Oryza sativa Japonica Group: one gene and its partners. The protein of the gene in region 2 interacts with the protein of the main gene of each other region in a pairwise test. Links are inferred from orthologs where the notes say so. Each region holds a gene or a part of one and is shown on either strand. Other genes may lie near its edges. The genes, in order: protein ABERRANT PANICLE ORGANIZATION 1, probable transcription factor FL, chromatin structure-remodeling complex protein SYD and ATP-dependent helicase BRM.

Region 1 (4,915 bases), on a different chromosome or scaffold from region 2:
GTACTGCACTGGAGTAGGAGTACTACTGTGGTTGTCCTCCATGTACGCAAACAAAAATTTTCGCATCAAAGAGACAACGCCACAGAAGATATTACTGCAGAGTATTAATTTATCTCTACTACTCGCGATGCACTACTAGCCGGAGTCTCAAGCAACACATCACACAGTGTAAAACAAATCCAGCCACGAATTTATACAGTGAGAAAACTATAGCAATATCCATTGCAGACGTACTCGCGTATATTAGTAGTTGTGAGATAACGCTACAGCCGACTACAGGTAAGGGCTCCGTTGGAAGAATTTTTTTATATTTTTTTAGAATTTTTTACTTTTAAATTTTATTAATAAACCTCTCAAAAAAATATTTTTCAAATCTAAATCTTTTGTCCACGCCTTGCAGTGCTGGCTTGCCACGCTAGCCCCTTGCTACGCCACTATGGCTAGCCTGGCCAAACAACGCTGGCATGGCCAAAAGGTTCAGTTTTTGAAAATATTTTTTTGGAAATATATATTAATAAAATTTAAAAATAAAAGGTCTAAAAAATAAAAAAATTCATGTTGGAACGCATCATTCGAAGAACGTAATTAAGAATAGAAAAAAAATAGAGCATTTAGGCTTCTTATTTGATTTATATAGAAATTTCATAGGATTTAAATCCTATATGATTTTTTTCTATTTGGCCCTTTGATACAAAGAATTAAAGCTTTTCAGATCCTATGAAATTCCTATGGAATGGCTCATTGCATGTAGATTTAGGAGAAAACATAGCAAGAGCTTCAACTTCTTGAAAAATTTCCTTTGAGTTTATCTCTCTCATCTAATATAATTCCTGATTTTTCTTGTGGTCTAATCAAACAATTATTTTTATGTTTTTCTTGTGTTTTGCAATCCACTATTTTACATTTGCATTCCTGTTAGAATCATGTGTTTTTCCTATTCCTCCGTTTTTCTTAACCCTGCGATTCAAAGGGGCCTTTTATGTATGGACAAATCACGCAGAATTTCAAAATACATGAAGTTGTACTGGATATACTAGGGATTTAGTGTTCTTTTGAAACACAAATGTTGAAAAAACTTAGGGATATGCATTGAGCTTCTGAAAGGAAATCAAAACCATGAGGTTTGAGCTTATGTTTGAAATCCTTCAAAAAGTGGAGGAAAGAAAGGATTCCTATGAAAATTTTCTTGAAAGGAATCCTATGAAAATTTTCTAACCAAATCATTCAAACCATATGTCTCCCTAGCTAGGAAAATTTTCAATAGTATTTCAATCCTACAACTTTCCTTTAAAAACCCTTTGTTTCAAAAGAGCCTTTAATGGAGGGGAGGGGGGGGGGCAGAGAGAAGATGCGTTGGCCTCACCAAACACAGGATCATAAAAACGCATGAATGATCATAAAAACACAGAAATAGAAAAAAAAATACAGGTTTGGAGTACCCCTACCACTTCAAATCCTATGCAGGAAAACTGCATGAATCCGTTTAGATGGAGCGCAGGAAACACACAGGAATCAGTTCATAAGAGTGAAAGACACAAATGATATTTTTCCAATAGGTTGTACCTCATGTCAAAATTCCTATACTTTGAACCAATCCAAGGAATTTGGTAGGATTTTCGGATGGAAATTTCCTTTGATTCATAGGACCATGTATAAAAATTTTCCTTAGGATTGAGTTCCTTCAAATTTCTTACAAACCTGTCCCAAAGGAGCACTAAAATAAGATTTGAGCTCATATATAGTAAAAAAAATTTCCAATGGAAGTGATGCATATGATAACAGTCCATAGAAAATTGTCATGTTCATATCCTTTGTTCCAAAACACACTAGATATATATAGGAAAAAATCCTTCAAAATTCCTTTGTGGGCTCCTTTGGAACAATGTCCAACACTTTCAAAGGAATTTTAAAGAAAAATCCGAAGATATTTTTTGAGGAAATGATGAACACTGTCCAACAAATTGTTTAAAATCAACCACTGCCGTGTGCAAAAAATAAAAATAAAAATGCATAGAATAACAGATCAGAGCTGAGACAAACCAAAACCGGCGTTGCGCTACCCAGACAACAACAACAACATGTCAACAACTGCTACTCTACTCCATATCCAATCCTTTCCCCTCTCAAATTTAATTACGCAAGAACACACAGTCCATCGATATCCATCATCCATTTATATAACTGTTGCTTTGCTTAGATTGCGATTCTCAAATTTAATCATGAATTCTCATATATGCATACCTTTAGCTTTGGCATGGCTAGCCTCACATGAATTAATCCCTTGGCATCTCGAGTACAAGCTAGTACCACAGTTTCACTATCATTTGATCGCAGCTGCCGCTTCACAGCTGCCTCACTCCACTCCACTTCACCCTTGAAAATTTTCAGCTCACGCAGCTGCAGCTGACGACGCCGCGCGCCGACGACGACGACCATGATGAACCCTCGCCGGCTGCCGCCTCTGCCGTCGTCGACGTCGTCCGCCTCGGCAGCGGACGACATGGACCCGCGCGTGTGGCGCCGGCTGCCGCAGCCGCTGGTGGACCGCATCCTGGCGTGCCTCCCGACGCCGTCGTTCCTCCGCCTCCGCGCCGCCTGCCGCCGCTTCTACCACCTCCTCTTCTCCTCCCCGTTCCTCCACTCCCACCTCCTCCTCTCCCCTCACCTCCCCTTCTTCGCCTTCGTCGTCCCCGCCGCCGGCCACCTCCTCCTCCTCGACCCCACCGCCACCGCCTCCTGGTCCCGCCTCCCGCTCCCGCTCCCGCCCGTCGCCGGCGGCCCCGCCGCGTTCTCGCCCGCGGCCGCGTCCGCCGGCCTGCTCGCGTTCCTGTCCGACGCGTCGGGGCACAAGACGCTGCTGCTCGCCAACCCGATCACCCGCCTCCTCGCCGCGCTCCCCATCTCCCCGACCCCGCGCCTCTCCCCCACCGTCGGCCTCGCCGCCGGCCCGACCTCCATCATCGCCGTCGTGGCCGGGGACGACCTCGTGTCCCCCTTCGCCGTCAAGAACATCTCCGCCGACACGTTCGTCGCCGACGCCGCCTCCGTCCCGCCCTCCGGCTTCTGGGCTCCCAGCTCCCTGCTCCCTCGCCTCTCCTCCCTCGATCCCCGCGCCGGCATGGCCTTCGCCTCCGGCAGGTAAGCGCGCCGCGCCATTGATGACGCATGGGTAAATACTCTTGCACAGATTTGCTGATCTTGCCTTGGTTGTTGTTCTTAGGTTCTACTGCATGAGCTCGTCGCCGTTTGCGGTTCTGGTGTTCGACGTGGCGGAGAACGTATGGAGCAAGGTGCAGCCGCCGATGAGGCGGTTCCTGAGGTCGCCGGCGCTGGTGGAGCTCGGCGGCGGGAGGGAGGGAGCGGCGAGGGTGGCGCTGGTGTCGGCCGTCGAGAAGAGCCGTCTCAGCGTGCCCCGCAGCGTGCGCCTGTGGACGCTGCGCGGCGGCGGCGGCGGCGGCGGCGGTGGCGCGTGGACGGAGGTGGCGCGGATGCCGCCGGAGGTGCACGCGCAGTTCGCCGCGGCGGAGGGCGGGCGCGGGTTCGAGTGCGCGGCGCACGGCGACTACGTCGTGCTCGCGCCGCGCGGGCCCGTGGCGCAGGCGCCCACGAGCGCGCTCGTGTTCGACTCCCGCCGCGACGAGTGGCGGTGGGCGCCGCCGTGCCCGTACGTCGTCGTCGCGCACCACGGCGGCGCCGGCGCGGCGGGTTTCCGGGTGTTCGCGTACGAGCCCCGGCTGGCGACGCCGGCCATTGGCCTCCTCGACGCCACGGCGCCCGTCGCCTTGCATGGCATGCATGATGGTTAGGAGCATACTATGTGCTTTTTTGTGCATGCTGCCTGCATCAACTAATCAATTTGTTATGGCCTAGGGCATGCATACACATGTTCATGAGCAAGCTAGGTTTGTGGTGTATTAAAGTTGTTTCAGCAATGGGGATCATATGTTAATTTCTTATGAGCAATTAAGTGTGTTATATGATAGGTTAGGTATGAGAATTAGCATGATTCTAGCTAGTAGTATGTGCAAGTTAGTAGTATGTACTAGGTAGCTTAATTAATTAATTAGGTTGTATTTGTCATCTGAGTTGGTAGTGTGCTAGATTGACAGTGGTCTGAACTCTGAAGTGGTTTCATCTCTGTTAATTCAGAAAACACTAATAATTCAGAAAACCTACTGAAGGGTTTCTACTCAACAACTACTACTACTTTGATCTTGCCATGAGATCTGTTGAAGAATATTCATGCATGTGATTTTCTGAAGAGTGTTGATTTAGATGGTTTATCATGATCACATGAAGCCTACAACAGTATGTGATCATTTGAGTATGATCTTCTGGCCAGCATGACTTTGTCTGTTGAATCCACCTCAGATCGGTATATAGTTTCTCAGTTTGGATATGCATTTCTTCCATATATTTGCTTAATATTCACACATACTTATGTGTGTAGTTGCATCTTTCTTGTGAGTGAAATTAGTACGACCTCTATTAAATAAAGCTAGATACTCTGAAAAAGTAAGATGCCCAAACTTAGTTTATGTAGCGCCCTTGGTCGATCAAATTTTATGGCCAATCTTTTTTTTTTCTTTTGCAAGCTTACTCTAGCTAGAATTGTACTCCTAACATAGACATTGTATATATGTAAACATAGTTTTCCCGATCGATCGAGTTGTTGATTCAGTATATCATGCATCTCTGGGGAAGCAGTAACAAGCACCAGAGATATGGTGGTTCAGATCTTTAGCCACCCCCAACCAGGTTCTAATCACATCCATTTAATTTTAAAAATCATGTGTAAGTAATATACTGCTAGTATATATAGTATGTTCTAAAGATCTCAATAGGATTGTAGAAATCCCAAAGGAACTAAACTGCAAAACATGCTACGCACTGATTATTACAGTCATTTGGAACA
Region 2 (5,611 bases):
ACAAACTCCAAGACAAATACATTAAATGTATAAGTGAGAGACAGAGAAGAGAAGAAAATTATAGCCAACCTTATAGCTAATCTATTATATCTGTTGGCTTTAAAATGTGCTAATAGTAGGAAGTGAGCTGTACTATTATCCTTGCTCTCATACAACTGTCTCATGATTAAAAAACGTGGTAATTTTGCTATATATTAAAGTCCCCTGCTACCTTCATTTCTCCTTTTTACCGTCAACTATAAGGTAGAGGCTAAAGATAAGCGTCTCTTTGAGCTAATAGATAACTAATTCTCTCTTAACTAGAAAATCTCGATTGAATTATAGAAGCAACAAGCGAAATTGGAGTAGTCTAAATCGTAAACACGAAGTTATGAGAGAGCAATACGAGCGTTGTACCGTTAGGCAGAGTGGTTGAATGTCGTTTACCCCCAAAATATACTACCAATAGGTAGAGTTCCTTGCCTATGGTAGCTTTTAAATTCAAATGTAAAAAACACTCGATGCACTAGGCTCATTTCATTAATTAATGCTTTCGGACTCGACCGTGAACTATTCCTAGTGTTCTATCGAGCTAATTAATGACTAAGCAAACCAACCTTTGACACAATAGGAGAAACATCGGTAACTGACTACTCCCTCCATCCAAAAGTTTTAAGATATATTTTATTTTTTGGTTTTCTAAAAGTTTAAGTCCTATCCATATAGTCATTACTATGTGTTATATTAAATTTTTGAGCGGAGCCTAAGAAATCATTATACTTCAGTACTTATTGGTTACATGTTCATTGATTTTGTCACATAATGAATTAATTAATTACTCACTGGCCTTGGTCAAAAAGAAAATAGGTCTTGGACTTTTTGGATGGAGGGAGTAAAACCAAGAAATCCCCCGTCATTAATATGGTGATTAGGAGTAACTTTGTCATTTATGTTTTTCCCCGGCTAGATTGATCTGTGGTCATCCGTTGCACCGGCATCGATGATATTCCATAAAAAATCCAGAAAGAGAAACAAATATTTAATCATTGCTAAATGACAATTATACACCATGCACATTATTCTTTTTTACAATAAATATCACTCCATATTTCTACTACCGTTAATTGAAATAATTGTAAAAAAGATCTAAATCCTCCAATCAAATAAGACCAATGAATGCACCATAGTGAGACTTTAAAAGAAGAGAAATTTTACACTACATTTTTTAGAGTAAATTATATTAGCGGTACATAAATTTGTCAGGTGCGTGCAATTTAGTGTATGAACTTATAAAATGCTCGTCTCGTTTTGGTGCATGAATTTGTCTGGTATGTGCAAACTAAGACTAAAATGGTGCGACAAGACCGATTTTTCTTAGATTCCACTTTATCTTTCTTTGTTTCTGTCCCTTGCATCATTACTCAAATTTTTATTTTTTTATACAATCATTATGCCTTATTATATGTTTATCCTTCTTAGACTAATGTTTACATAGAGTTTAAATCAACCACAGAATCAACAAGATTAACCTTGCAGTGCGATTTTGACATTATTCGCACGCATCAAACAAGCTCGTGCACAGAAACGAGCGTTTTAGAAGTTCATGTACTAGATTGCACCAACCTGACAAGTTCGTGTACCGCTGATGCAATTTACTCTTTTGTTTATCTCAAAATACACAGTATCTAAAAGTATTAAGTTTTATATTAAAAAAATACGGTGTCTCTCGATACATTAATTATCCAGAATGGTAAAATAATTCTTAAAAAGTATATTTTCGCCCTCGGAATCAAAAACATTTTTGAGTTGCCCTAGCGTGGGGAAAATCTGCAGAATGACACGCTAATCTTCTGCCCCCACCGCTCACACGATTACATGGACAACCGCCACGTACGATAATTAAGGGCACAAGGCTACGGCCTCACCCGTGTTCACCGTGTACGCAACAACAGTACGCATGCAGGAGTATCTTTTTTCTTCGGAAGAGGAACAGTGACGCCGTTGCTACCTCCAAGGAGAGACGGGACGAAAAGATCGAAGGACACTTGAGACGTGCGCCACATTACAAATGCACGTACGCCGTGACAGGACAACACAATGTGTGGGTGTATTACTCCTATAAGGCTTACTGTGCCTACTTTTTATGTACCGGCACGTAATAGGGCTTACTAGAATCTAGACTATCAAATCGTGTGTGCTCTAGCGACGCATGCAGCTTTCTACAGGACAGGTCGTTTTCACGTAGTATCGATCGGTAGCTCGCTCCCTTCCTCCAAGTATTGGACAAAAACCAAAAGCTAGCGTGAATGCAGATACATCGATCCGGACCAATGCAACGAGCTATGGAGATTTGTCAAGTCAACCGCGTGCAGCAACTATAGCCCAACACTACAGTGGCCGCTATATAACGAGCCCAACGCGACGCACAGAGGTGTGTGGGCGAAACACAAGAAACAACCGGAGAAACCGAGCCCGGCCGACCGCAAGGACAGCAAGCTAGTAGCCATCCTCGCATGGATCCCAACGATGCCTTCTCGGCCGCGCACCCGTTCCGGTGGGACCTCGGCCCGCCGGCGCCGGCGCCCGTGCCACCACCGCCGCCACCACCGCCGCCGCCGCCGCCGGCTAACGTGCCCAGGGAGCTGGAGGAGCTGGTGGCAGGGTACGGCGTGCGGATGTCGACGGTGGCGCGGATCTCGGAGCTCGGGTTCACGGCGAGCACGCTCCTGGCCATGACGGAGCGCGAGCTCGACGACATGATGGCCGCGCTCGCCGGGCTGTTCCGCTGGGACCTGCTCCTCGGCGAGCGGTTCGGCCTCCGCGCCGCGCTGCGAGCCGAGCGCGGCCGCCTGATGTCGCTCGGCGGCCGCCACCATGGGCACCAGTCCGGGAGCACCGTGGACGGCGCCTCCCAGGAAGGTATCTTACGCATCGATCATACCACTATCTTTCTCCTCTTGTTTCATGTGATTACCGAACACGCTCGTGCGTATTAAGTGCGTACTGTGTGTTCTTGCGTGTGAATTGCGACGATGTCATCATGCATGCATGCAAAAGCTGATCGGTTAAATTCTTAACCATGTTCCTGTGCTTGTTCTGTACACGATGCTGTGATGCATGCATGCACGCGAACAGTGTTGTCCGACGAGCATGACATGGCGGGGAGCGGCGGCATGGGCGACGACGACAACGGCAGGAGGATGGTGACCGGCAAGAAGCAGGCGAAGAAGGGATCCGCGGCGAGGAAGGGCAAGAAGGCGAGGAGGAAGAAGGTGGACGACCTAAGGCTGGACATGCAGGAGGACGAGATGGACTGCTGCGACGAGGACGGCGGCGGCGGGTCGGAGTCGACGGAGTCGTCGGCCGGCGGCGGCGGCGGGGAGCGGCAGAGGGAGCATCCTTTCGTGGTGACGGAGCCCGGCGAGGTGGCGAGGGCCAAGAAGAACGGGCTGGACTACCTGTTCCATCTGTACGAGCAGTGCCGCCTCTTCCTGCTGCAGGTGCAATCCATGGCTAAGCTGCATGGACACAAGTCCCCAACCAAGGTACGCGTGATTTACGAGCATTACGTATCTTACGTACTCTATATCTTACGTACTCCTACCCTACTATGCTCGCGTTCTTGCATAAGCATGCAGACGTAAGACGATCTGAATAAGGGAACGTTCGTTCCTGGGCAATCTGGGGGATTGAGAGACAAAAGCATCTCGTTTTCCGTGCGCACGCTTCCCAAACTGCTAAACGGTGCGTTTTTTACAAAAAATTTCTATAGGAAAGTTGCTTTAAAAAATCATATTAATCCATTTTTGAAGTTTAAAATAGTTAATACTCAATTAATCATGTGCTAATGGCTCACCTCGTTTTGCGTATCTTCCCAATCTCCCCAATCTCCCCAATCCCCTTCTCCTCAAACACACCCTAAGACTACTGTCATCCCAACGGCTCGACTTGTTTATTGTTTATTACTCATTCACAGTTACTCCTATAAGTACTACTAGTAGGAGCAAATACATCGTGCTGCCGTCAGATATGGAGTAGGAGTATTCTGTTGGCCAGTCTTGAGTTAAAAAGGTGCGAAAGATTCATTATCATTGCATGGTAACAAACAGTTGATTACTAAAGCATCTAGTAAATAACTTGAGTATTTTCAATGCTTAAGTTTTCCGCCTATTCAAAACTTTTAGCATTGGCTCTTTGACTTAAAAGGGCGACAGTGTTTAAAATTTCTAGAAAATCAACTGTACAACGGGCAAAACCTTTTGAAAAACATTCGTAAAACAGCAGGAATGCTCACTTTCCTTCTGTAAGACTTGCTAGGGTGTTAATCTATTCTACCAATTCATGCTCACAGACGAGGAACACACATCACATGGTAACAGGATGCTCCCTGTTTCTGTCATACCGGTATTTCTGCCATGCACTCGTGCTCTCCCTGTTTCATTAGTCCCATGCATAGCCGTCCGTTCGCTTTGTTACAAGCAAACAGTGATTACGTAGTGGATGCTTCACGTACGCGGGTAGTAGAAGAATTCAGGAAGAGCTGGACACGAGCGCGTACGCCGATGCGCAGTAGTACCAAGTACCAACCTGAAAAAGAGTGCCGACGTGTCAGTTGCAGGTAGGCTGGCAAAGCCTGCGTTCCATGTGTTGTCTTGTCGGGCCCTAGCCATCAGCGTAGGCATGCATGGCAATGGAGCCACACCCCACAGCCATGGAGCCATATGGAGGTAGGGGGAGGAGGACGGCCACTTCCTCGGATTCCGTGGCGGCAATCCCTCGCACGTACGGCCATGTGAGCTCACCTGCCGCCGTGGATCAGGGCGCTCAGCTCGGAGACGGTGCAATGAAATGAATGCACGCACGGCCTGGTCGGGGTTCCAGGGTGATTGGATGGCTTTGCATCCCGTCCACTCACAGCCCGGACGGACCGGCTGCTGCATCGATGCGCTCCTGCGCCCCCAAGCAGCCGATCAGATCCGTGATCTCACTGTGCGACGCATGAGTCATGTGCACGAGCTAGCTGCACGCACACGCGAACGTCTCGGTGGTGAAACGCAATGAAATGGCCTTCATGCATCATGCATGTATGGGTGGATGCAGGTGACGAACCAGGTGTTCCGGTACGCGAAGAAGGTCGGGGCGAGCTACATCAACAAGCCCAAGATGCGGCACTACGTGCACTGCTACGCGCTGCACTGCCTGGACGAGGAGGCGTCGGACGCGCTGCGGCGCGCCTACAAGGCCCGCGGCGAGAACGTGGGGGCGTGGAGGCAGGCCTGCTACGCGCCGCTCGTCGACATCTCCGCGCGCCACGGATTCGACATCGACGCCGTCTTCGCCGCGCACCCGCGCCTCGCCATCTGGTACGTGCCCACCAGACTCCGCCAGCTCTGCCACCAGGCGCGGAGCAGCCACGCCGCCGCCGCCGCCGCGCTCCCGCCGCCCTTGTTCTAAGCTCGCCGGAGACTCTGCTGCTGTTCCCGCGCCGCCACGGCGCGTGGGAGTTTCCTGTGGTGTTGGGCCGTGTTTTCGTTGTAAGGCAGTTAGGTCGTTCTAAGCTATTCGATGGGCCGATCGAGGATGCGTCGTCGTGTAGGAACTCGTCGTGTACCCATGTTTGCGATCTGGATGG
Region 3 (5,045 bases), on a different chromosome or scaffold from region 2:
ATATAAAAGGAAGTCAAAAGAAAGCAACCAACACTCACCTGAACCATCCTAAGATATCCTTCAACATCATTATTCTTAAGCAGGTTGATCTTCTCCCGCTGGATCCTGTCTAACTTCTCTCTATGAATTCGCTCTTTCCTCTTGTGGAACTCTTTTACGTACCGATTGAAACCCTTCAAGCGTTCTCTCTTAACCTTGAAGCTATCCTCCAGTTTCTCTCTGCAGTTTAATAGGTAAAATATTTAACAAGCATAAACTATGAGCATACTAAGCTCATAACTTGCAAGGTAATTGCTGGTTGAAACAAATATTCTGGTCTATTTTGTATAAATATGTTTCTTTTCAGTAAACCACCAACTCCTCCTGGGTCAACTTCTTTCAGTTTTAGCTTAGCCAGGTTCAATTTATAAAGGGCAAGGGCAATCTTAGAATGGCTATGCAACTGGAATGTTCAGAGCGCAGCTTCTAGAAAACTATTTCTTCTATAGTCATTGCTCTAAAGAACCTGTACAGGAAAATTAAAACGGTACTATTCCTAGAAAGCAGCTGCATTACAGACACACCCCCAAACTATTAGGTAGTACATGTATTCTACAAAATACTTAAAGACCAGGTACAGATAACTTAAAACATTGGCTAAAAGTAAGAAGAACTAAAGATAAAGGAGTGGGTCGTGATTTCAATCCAACCTGTGGGCCTCTATATCAGCAAAGAATTCCTTCTGTCTCTCACGAATTCTCTTTTGCCTTTCTTCCTTCATTTTCTGTTCAATTTTTTCAAGCTGTTTAACACGACGTCCATGTCTATGTTTCTTTACTGATTTTATGCGGTCCAAATCAGTAGTATTAGGCTTGAAAAAGTCCTGCAAAAATTCACTGCCAAATAGAAGAAATCAAAACAGGGGAAATATAGCCACAGAAACATAAAGTCTGGTAGGAAGAGAAATTAAAAGTTCATGGTGTCCATGACAGGCAGACCTGCGCACACGACGTTGAAGTTGGAGAAGTTGAAGCTTTTTCAATTCAATGACACTCTTTGTTTTTGCAGAAAGATCCTCCGATGAACTAACATTTTCCTGAAGAAAACAGAAGGAATTGAAGTTTTCAACTAAGACTTACAGTGTGTTGAATATGGTAGCATAACACATGCACATGTGCACCAAATCGAGATGTCCATTGTATTAAAAAAATCACAACACATGAGGAAAAGACTGTACTTTGGAAACAATCTTGTATACATGAAACATAAACAATAATTTATAGACGTGTGACATTTCAAAAGTGTGCTTTTCAATTTCCAGGATTTCAAAGTGAGAAAAGTAGGGAGTGACCTTTAGCTTCTCATAGGATGCTGAAATTCTCCTGTGTGCCTTCTGTAACTCTAATGCCTTCCTTTTGTTTTCTTCATATCTTCTCTTCTGATGATCCAAAATCCATTTATCAGTCATTGTGTACTTCGGAGGAGATAATGGTAAATCATCTTGCTCAGAAAGATCTTCGTCTCCTTCATCTGCAGATCGCTCAAATATCATCTCTCCCATGTGGCTACCATTATCAATTTCATTGCCAGCTGTCTCAGGAGTTTGATCCTTTCCAGATAAATTGTGGTTGCTACCATCAACAGGCATATGATGAGGCCTCAAAACTGCAAATGGTTCTTTGGACACTTCATCTTTGGCCAAGAGGCCAACTTCCATACTAGTATGCCTATTACCACCCAAAGGAGATGGTCCCTGGCCTCCTACCCAGCCTAAGTTCCTATTCAAATTTTCTGCATCAGCCTTGTAGATCTCAGGGGTAGTTTTTCTTGTATCTCCCTGAAAGTAATGCAGTTGCCCAGATGGCATGGGAGATATCGTTTCTTGAGAATGCATTTCAGAATCAGTTCCCTGTATAGGAACGGTTTGCTGGATATTTTCTGCTTCAAATGATTTCTCATGTTCAGCTATCTTGATCTTCTTTTTAACAATTTCTGGGTCCTTTGATGCGGAATCAACATCCGCAACACTGCCTGTAGATGTTGATTGAAGTCTAGAAATATCACTTTGCCTACCAAAAATAGCAGGGTTTTCCTGGCTGTTTCCATTTTCCTTTCCAGAACCATCAGCCATTCTGCTCTCACTACCTCTCTGACCTGCACTGCCACCTGTTTTTCAAGCATAGATTCATCAAGACTGACAAAGCAGACAGCTCACACAATATTGCTCTATTCTTAGTTTTTACCTTCTGAAGCAGGGGGACCAACACCTAAAGCAATTTCAAGATGTACCTTCCGGGGCTGCAGATTATTTCTACAAGGAAGTACAGCCGATATGAGTGCTACAGAGATGAGGTTTCAATATTAAGCATAGATGTATTCTGTCAAAGAACAAGACACAAATTAGGATATGGAAGGGTGTGCAGACCTAAATGCAAGAAATACTAAGCACTGCGCTCTGAGCTGCTTCAACTGCTGCTCTTTGAATGGAATGCTGGGAGAGGTTTGAGACATTTGAGATGAACCAGCTCTCTGAGGTGCTCTGACAATTCCGTGCCTTTCTTGCATTGGACTGCCCTGAAAGTTATACCGCATTTGTGTGTCAAAATGCATCTAAAATATTAAGTCAACCAATGGAGATACACATATCAATGAAAAGATGACTGTATGACCAAACAAAAGTGTTTCTAAAACTGGCTACAGAAGGAGATTTACTAAAGTGCAAACAATACTTTTTGTGCAAAGTTCAACAAGAAGTTTACGGAAATGAATACCACACCCTTCATGGTTTGCCAAATATGTTGCAATATGTCTACAAATAAAAAAGAAGGAAATATCCCAGAGGAATTTATCTAGAACAAGCGAGCACAGGAACAAGATTTTTGCATTTCACTAACAAGGATTTCTCCCCCAAATATAAGTCACAGTGTCTCGAAAACAGCATGCAAGAACAAGCTTTTAACATAAGGATATTTAAAATTAAGCTAAAGGTCGTACATGCATGATCCCCAGCTGAGCTCCAGCTTTAGAAGAATTTAGTTCACTGCCAGTATTGCCTGAAGTCAAGTCTTTCCCTTTGTCAAGATACTGTGGACCACCTCCAAAGGAAGAAGACACATAAGGAGGAACTGTGGGGTAATCCATTTGTGATGCAGACATAGAATTAAAAGTTCCTTGTGATCCTAAGTTAACTTTCCCTGTAGCATAAGCACAATCATTAAGGTAAATTTTTGAATTTCAATGTCTCTAGTGAGACTATTATGTAATTCTTTTTTAATTGAAGTACCTTCGACATTAACACCAGGTCTCATTAGGTTGGGAACAGACCCTTGAGTATTCTTCATAACTGGACCTTGTGCATTCTGGTTCCAGCCAAAACTAGCATTAAGTAGATTTGCTCCTCCCAATATACTTTTCTGCAACTCAGCAGGAATGTTGCCAGAAGCTAGTCCTTCAGCAAAATTTGAAATTTGTGCCATTGTGAATGGATTTGATGGTTTAGTCTTGTCTATAGTCCTTGCAGAAGAAGCTGATGGTCCTTCCTGGTGAGCCCTAAAGAAAGGTGCACCACTGGGTAACGGTGGCACCTGAGCATTACCAACTTGTAATGTATGTGATGGATCGTGTTCGACTGTCCTGGAAAGTTGACCCTGAGTACCAGCTTTGCCAGGCTGTTTTCCCTTTCTAATATTTTGTCCGGTAGACATGGCATCTGATTTTGAGTTGTCTTCAGAATGCAAGTCCCCTGCTGCTTTTGGATCCACTCTTTTTCTCTTAGAAGATGATTTTTTGCTTGTTTTTTCATCTGACTTCAAAGAATCATGTGAATTCATAGATCTAGTATCCTCTATTTGCAGACTGGCAGGGCTTTCCATTCCAGAGGATCTTCCACTCTTCTGTGACATGGAGCCTTGATGAATATCAGCTCCTGCAACATCGCTCCTATTTGGTCCTGCTGGGACCCTGCCTGAAATAGATGCACTGTGACGTGCCATATCTGCTGAACCTGACAATATAATACAATGCATCATCAGGTCAAACTCATAAATCCAAAACAGGTGGCTGAGATTACCATGTTGATTTACTTGGTTACCTGATGGAAAATTCCATAATCCAGCATGCGCACTACTTTGGGATGCATCAGTACCAACCATGGGAGGTTGACTGCCAATGATCTCCTTATCCTTAGGCATAGCACCACTAGAATCTCCTGCTTGTGGACCACCAGCTAATGGGATTCTCGATGATCGCAACGCATCCATATCTATTCCATGTTGGCTTACAACAGTCTCCATGGCCCTGTTGACAAATGTTAATAGAAGTTTGGAATTGTGGAGGCAAAAATTAAGGTCTAAATTATGAAAAATCAGATAAAACTTTATTTCGACACAGCACCTTTTCACTTGGTATTTCGAACAAATAAGGTAGATCACATTTGTGATAAATTACGTGACACCAACCAGTAAGGAGACACAGTGTGAGTAACTTTTGTGTTTTTGTGTGTGCGCGCGCACGAGTGTGTGTAAACTGACAAACACTACATTAAGAAAAAATATACAAGATGACCATACTTGGAAAATCATGTGTTTCACAATTCCGCGGACAAGAGAAAGCACAATGGCTTCAAAACACTACACGCATGATTTATTCCCAAGGAATGCAGTCCAAGGCAAAAGTTGCTAAAGGAGGCGTTCCAGAAACATTGGCCGCAAATTTGTTATGTCCACAGAGTCATGGAAGGTCATGATACATAATATTACACTACAAACATGCCAATTGCCAGCTAAGTAAAAGTAGCTCGCTCCTCCCGCCTTGCTGCTTTAGTTCAGTTCTCTATCAGTCTACCGTGCCCTTGCTGCTATCTTCCACCTACTTCTCTCCAACTATTCAATTTTTTTCATCGGTTCAATAAGAAGGTTGGAGGATGAGCGCCTCCCACATCATACATCTTAGCATAATGTGTTACTCTCTTCATTCCAAATTGATCTACATATTTCATAGGTACACCAAGACCAAGAAAAGCTAATAACTCTCTCATATTATATTTACTCTAGCAACAAACTCGATGC
Region 4 (5,045 bases), on a different chromosome or scaffold from region 2:
TAGGTCATCTGCCTGTAAACCGTCCATTAAAAAAATGAGCAGTTAATTTCAACACGTAGAAAATCAAATTAAAACAGGAAAAGGAGAAGCAAATAAGTTCAGAAGTAAAGGAAAAGAATAGGCAAATATGGTGTGTTTCAGACATACAGTTCTCTTTGACAAAGCACCCGGGCGGGAATCTAATGCAGACAAAGACCGCAATTTTTTTGAAGAGGAGGAAGGTGCAGGTGGTGGCAATCTACGGCCACCAGATGAAGATCCTGTTGAACCAGCTTCTTCAGATCTATGGGCTTTTCTGCGTCCCATCCCATGTGAAAAATCATACCCTTCATCATTGATAGGCTCTTCTTCCTCTGATTGATCCTTATTATCAGGCACTGAATCATCATTGTCCTCTTCATCTTCAAATTCTCCTATTTCCCCTTCTTCAGGCAGAGATGAGGTATTCCTCTCTTCAGAATCATCATCAGATTCCTCAAAATCGTCATCATCAATCTCCCTGTAGATGGAGTACTTCCCAGACCCCTTAGGTCGCCCCCTTCGTTTCTCAAGTTTTTCATTAGTGTCAAGAGAAATTCCCCCAGCCGCCATATTTCTCAAGGGCTTTTTGGATAAACTCGCAACAACAGCATCAAGCTCCGTGGAGCTAACACGGAGCCACTTGGGAGCTTGATTGTGTTTCATCATATCTCCTGTCCAATCAAATTCTTCATCCATCTGATCAAATAGCTCAACTTCTTCTTCAGTCCGAGCAATCATGCGGTTAACTTGCTGTAGTGAAGGAACGTCATGAACAGTTTCTTGATATCTCTCTTCATCATGCAGGAGTGTTTCCAAAGTCATCCGCCTTTCCTCATGGGTTGTTCTTTGATCAAATCGACCAGCATTAATGACTTCATCTGCCATGTCAATTTTGTACTGTTGGATATTATTGCGGATGAGACTTTCTATTGAACCCATGTACCTGTCCTTTCCCGCAAGATCATCCTCCAGATCTCCACTTCCCCCATTCCTCAACTCATCCTCTTTCTGATAACTTGAGATGTTATCAACAACAGCCTCCATGTAAATAACTTTTACATCCCTAGTCTGCCCTATACGATGGGCCCTAGCAACTGCTTGCTCTTCATTTTGTGGATTCGGATCAGGGTCATAAATTACAACAGTGTCTGCACTCTGAAGATTCAGACCCCTGCCAGCAGCCCGAATACTAAGCAAGAATATAAAACAATCAGAATTAGGCCTGTTGAAGTCAACAATTGCTGATTCACGATCTTCCAAGCTAGTTGTTCCATCAATTCTTCTGTAAACAAGTTGCCTCCATTGCAAATATTCTTCCAGGATGTCAAGAAGTTTTGTCATAGTGCTGAAAAGGAGTACACGGTGACCTGACCTATGAAGCTTAATTAAAATCCTATCAAGATTCCACAACTTCCCACAAGATCTGATTATAAAATCTTTTCCATAGTAATTCATAAAAGGATATGACAGCAATGGATGGTTGCAAACTTTCCTCAGCTCCATGCATTTGTTATTGAGATTCTTATATGTCTTAGCCTGGTACATTGCATTCCTCTGAATACGTGCTTTCTCATCTTCAGGATCAACCCTGATGGTGCCAGTGGATTTTATCCAATCATATATAGCACCTTGAATACCAGACATTCTGCACCTCAAAACAATTGACTCCTGCAAATGACATGACGAGTTAACAATGTAGCAAACAAAAAGAGCTGAGTGACAAATAGCATCACTGAGTGTGACAAGGGCAGAACAATCGACCTTTCTTGGAAGTGAGCCTTCAACATCTTCAACACGCCTTCGTAGCATAAAAGGTTCCAAAATTTGATGCAGCCTATGAATAATAATTACTTTTTTCTCAGTTTCCAGCCAATCATCTTCTTCTTCACTATGTGTAGGAACATCTCTCTGAAAAGGTTTTGAGAACCAATCTTGAAATGCCTTACGGTTGTCAAATACTTCTGGTAGCAACAAATTTAGGAGGGACCAAAGCTCCTTAAGATCATTCTGAAAGAATTGAATAAAAAGCATTAAATAATAGCCCTAAAGTGTTATAGAAATAAAACAACATTTGCTGATGTGGTCCTAACAATATTGGCAGACCAGAGAAAAGGAACTTCCGTGACACAGGAAAAGAAAAGGGGATTGTGTTACAATGTAGAACGATTGTGTTACATTTATTATTAATGCTTACCTGTAGAGGAGTGCCAGTGAGAAGCAAACGCCGTTGGCAACGATAACGATCAAGATCTCGCGCCAAGACTGACTCTCTGTCCTTCATCCGTTGGGCCTCATCAATAATAATGTACTTCCAATCAATTCTTGAAAGCTTGGAACGGTCATACATAACAAATTCATATGTTGTTACAAGAACATTGAATTTCACAGCCAGAACCTCCTGCAAGATTAATCAAAAAGAATATTGAAGCAAAATCCGTGAGCAGGTGGTTCCAAATCAGATAATGCATTAGTAAGCGGGTGATTCCGAAGTCAGAGAATACATGATTTACGAGTGTTATCCTTCCAGAATATGGATCAAACAATATAACTAGGACCACCAAGTATTTAAGAAACATTTGTGATAACAATACTGTTAATCAAACAGTGATCTAGGAGGGAAAGGTATTGTGAATCTTTTCAATTCTATAAATGCTAAGCAGTATTATAAGTCCAGATATAGCATAAAATAGGCTATAAAACGGAAGAAACTTGCCTGAGAGAATAATTTTTGACGTTGATCCTTTGCACCAACATAAAAGATGCAAGATGCAGATGGCAACCAGTTCAGCAATTCACTCTAAATCAATAATAGAAATCCAAGTAAAAAATTATGTTTCAAAATAAATATCCCCATCATAAAATAGATACAAACAGTATTTCCTCAGAGTAAAGGACAGGAAAATAGAACCTTCCAGTTGACCAAGACAGCATTCGGTACAATTATGAGATGTGGTCCATAATTCCCTTTAAATTCCATCAAGTATGCAATCAGAGACATAACCTATTTATTCAATTGGTGGCCACAAAAAGATGTTACTAGCAGGGCAAAAGGAAATGGGGAGGCAAATGAGATAATAAAAGAAAATATTGTGAAATAGCAAAAGTCTAGCAGGTAGAACGGAATAAGAAATCCACACCTGTACGGTCTTGCCAAGACCCATCTCATCAGCCAAAATACCATTCAACTTATTATTGTACAAGGAAAGCATCCATTGAAGGCCCACCTGTGGATAGGCAACAAATCAAATTGTAGATTTTTTTTGGTGGTTGGAAATAGACTTGAAATGTTTTAAATATATATTATATCATATAAGAAAATTAAGTTGAAGGTAAATGGCCTACCAGCTGGTAGTCCCTTAACGTTCCTGCTCGCAGCAGTGAGGGCTGCCTTGTAACTCTCTCATTCACAGCATGAGCCAATGTGTAGTACCTAAAATAATACGGCAAGTGTAAGCTTATTTATGCTGAAAACTAGTGTGCACTAAATGCCCATATTGATCTACAGTTAGCAGCTCCAAATTAGAGAGTGAAGCAAATTTACTCACAGGAGTCAAAAGCACATATAAACTTTACTTGTAGTGAATCAGAAACATAAATTGTCAAAATGAATATTGAAAATAAGATAATTACTTACTTATTAACAGATGTGTTTTCCCTGGGCGCATTCATTTCAGAGAATGTGTTCCTTATCATAACCTCCTGACCAGCACATTGTGCAGCAGCCTTCACTTCTTCTTCAGAAAGACCCTATTAAACAAGTGGTATGCTCAATTATCTACAGGACTATGAAACTTGGGGAATGAATGCATCAGTGCAGCTAAAAGTTATGGACCAGTAGTGTATAAGTGCAATGATGAATGAGGGTACAGATAAACACAAGGCAAGAAGTGTATTGGCCAGTGTACTGTCTGTACCCCCAACCTCGAAATTAAAAAGTTTGTGCTAACATTTATCGTTTGCGTCACAACCCATAAATAAGAAACAAAAGAGGGATGGGGAAAAGGCCGTTATCATTTTCCAGAGCAAAGAATGTCATACTCATACCTGTGCTCGGGCAGCAGCAGCAGCAGCATTTGCCGCCTCTTCAACTTGCTGATGATTCTTGGCAGCAGTTATTTTCCCTCCAAGTTTATAGAGATACTCCTCAGTCTGGGTCAAGAAAGAAGATAGAACATTGTATCTTTGAGCTGCATCGCCAGGAACACTGGTTTGTTGTTCCAATAATATTTGACGATATCTTTCCACGTCATTGTTTTTCAGTGCCTCCATTCTTTTGTTTCGATCATCATCCTTTTTCTTTGAGAATTCCCTCAGCATCCTTTCATGGTACTTGGCTACCCCTCGGTTACGAGTAATCCGTGCATCACGAATGGCCCAGTGTGCCTCCAAAAGCTTCTTGCGCCACTGGAAAATGGATTTGAGCTGCTTTTCTCTTGAGGCTTTCTGCATCTGCTGAACTTGCCTTGTAAGCTCAACACGCTGGCGTTCACATTGTCTGACAAACTTTCTGTACACCCTATCAGGCATTGCCATTATTTCTTGTTGCTCCTGTTCAACTTCATCCCTCATACGAGCCTGAAATTCAAGGAGTTTCAGCTTCTTTTCTTCAATCTGCAGCCTTAAAACAAGATCTGGTTGGATCCTTTTCCTCTCTAGATTAATTGCAAGCAAGCCACTGATCTTTTTTAAATTATCCTCCCGTTTCTTGCCAAGAACTATCATGCCTTCCTGAGCTAACAAATCCTTCACGTCATAACCGAGTGCTAGATTACTGTTGTAATTTGCAGACACCATGGAATCATGTTTCCTGGTAAAGGATGGAAAGTCAAATAGTGGCCCATGGTATTTTCTTGAAACATCTCTGTTGGGAGTAGGCACGCTACTTGATGAGGCAGCTCTTTTTGCCTGCTCAGCGTCTGCTGAACCACTTTCTGCTGGCAAAGATTTCCCCCTTTCACCATTGTAATCACTTCTCCCAGGTGTTCTCTGGATACCCCTTTCTGGATCCTGCTCAGATTTAATCA

The links.
Region 1: the proteins of probable transcription factor FL (region 2) and protein ABERRANT PANICLE ORGANIZATION 1 interact in binary tests that used the Arabidopsis thaliana proteins (3 or more experiments, as listed by UniProt). The link is inferred for Oryza sativa Japonica Group from reciprocal best matches to the Arabidopsis thaliana genes LFY and UFO.
Region 3: the proteins of probable transcription factor FL (region 2) and chromatin structure-remodeling complex protein SYD interact in binary tests that used the Arabidopsis thaliana proteins (3 or more experiments, as listed by UniProt). The link is inferred for Oryza sativa Japonica Group from reciprocal best matches to the Arabidopsis thaliana genes LFY and SYD.
Region 4: the proteins of probable transcription factor FL (region 2) and ATP-dependent helicase BRM interact in binary tests that used the Arabidopsis thaliana proteins (3 or more experiments, as listed by UniProt). The link is inferred for Oryza sativa Japonica Group from reciprocal best matches to the Arabidopsis thaliana genes LFY and BRM.

What each region holds. Positions count from the first base shown.
Region 1 is NC_089040.1:28,344,459-28,349,373, reverse strand, and holds protein ABERRANT PANICLE ORGANIZATION 1, read left to right. Parts: upstream 1-2,272; 5' UTR 2,273-2,434; coding exon 2,435-3,138; intron 3,139-3,220; coding exon 3,221-3,806; 3' UTR 3,807-3,861; downstream 3,862-4,915. UniProt on the Arabidopsis thaliana protein: Component of SCF(ASK-cullin-F-box) E3 ubiquitin ligase complexes, which may mediate the ubiquitination and subsequent proteasomal degradation of target proteins. Considered as a meristem identity factor required for normal growth of the young floral meristem.
Region 2 is NC_089038.1:30,688,909-30,694,519, reverse strand, and holds the start of probable transcription factor FL, read left to right. Parts: upstream 1-2,260; 5' UTR 2,261-2,492; coding exon 2,493-2,898; intron 2,899-3,114; coding exon 3,115-3,524; intron 3,525-5,079; coding exon 5,080-5,433; 3' UTR 5,434-5,611. UniProt on the Arabidopsis thaliana protein: Probable transcription factor that promotes early floral meristem identity in synergy with APETALA1.
Region 3 is NC_089040.1:8,214,650-8,219,694, reverse strand, and holds part of chromatin structure-remodeling complex protein SYD, read right to left. Parts: intron 4,276-5,045; coding exon 3,263-4,275; intron 3,174-3,262; coding exon 2,974-3,173; intron 2,554-2,973; coding exon 2,405-2,553; intron 2,291-2,404; coding exon 2,223-2,290; intron 2,146-2,222; coding exon 1,331-2,145; intron 1,076-1,330; coding exon 978-1,075; intron 876-977; coding exon 690-875; intron 220-689; coding exon 39-219; intron 1-38. UniProt on the Arabidopsis thaliana protein: Catalytic component of the chromatin structure-remodeling complex (RSC), which is involved in transcription regulation and nucleosome positioning.
Region 4 is NC_089036.1:758,524-763,568, forward strand, and holds part of ATP-dependent helicase BRM, read right to left. Parts: coding exon 4,066-5,045; intron 3,769-4,065; coding exon 3,656-3,768; intron 3,452-3,655; coding exon 3,364-3,451; intron 3,246-3,363; coding exon 3,159-3,245; intron 3,023-3,158; coding exon 2,930-3,022; intron 2,819-2,929; coding exon 2,735-2,818; intron 2,420-2,734; coding exon 2,216-2,419; intron 2,029-2,215; coding exon 1,783-2,028; intron 1,690-1,782; coding exon 148-1,689; intron 13-147; coding exon 1-12. UniProt on the Arabidopsis thaliana protein: ATPase subunit of a multiprotein complex equivalent of the SWI/SNF complex that acts by remodeling the chromatin by catalyzing an ATP-dependent alteration in the structure of nucleosomal DNA.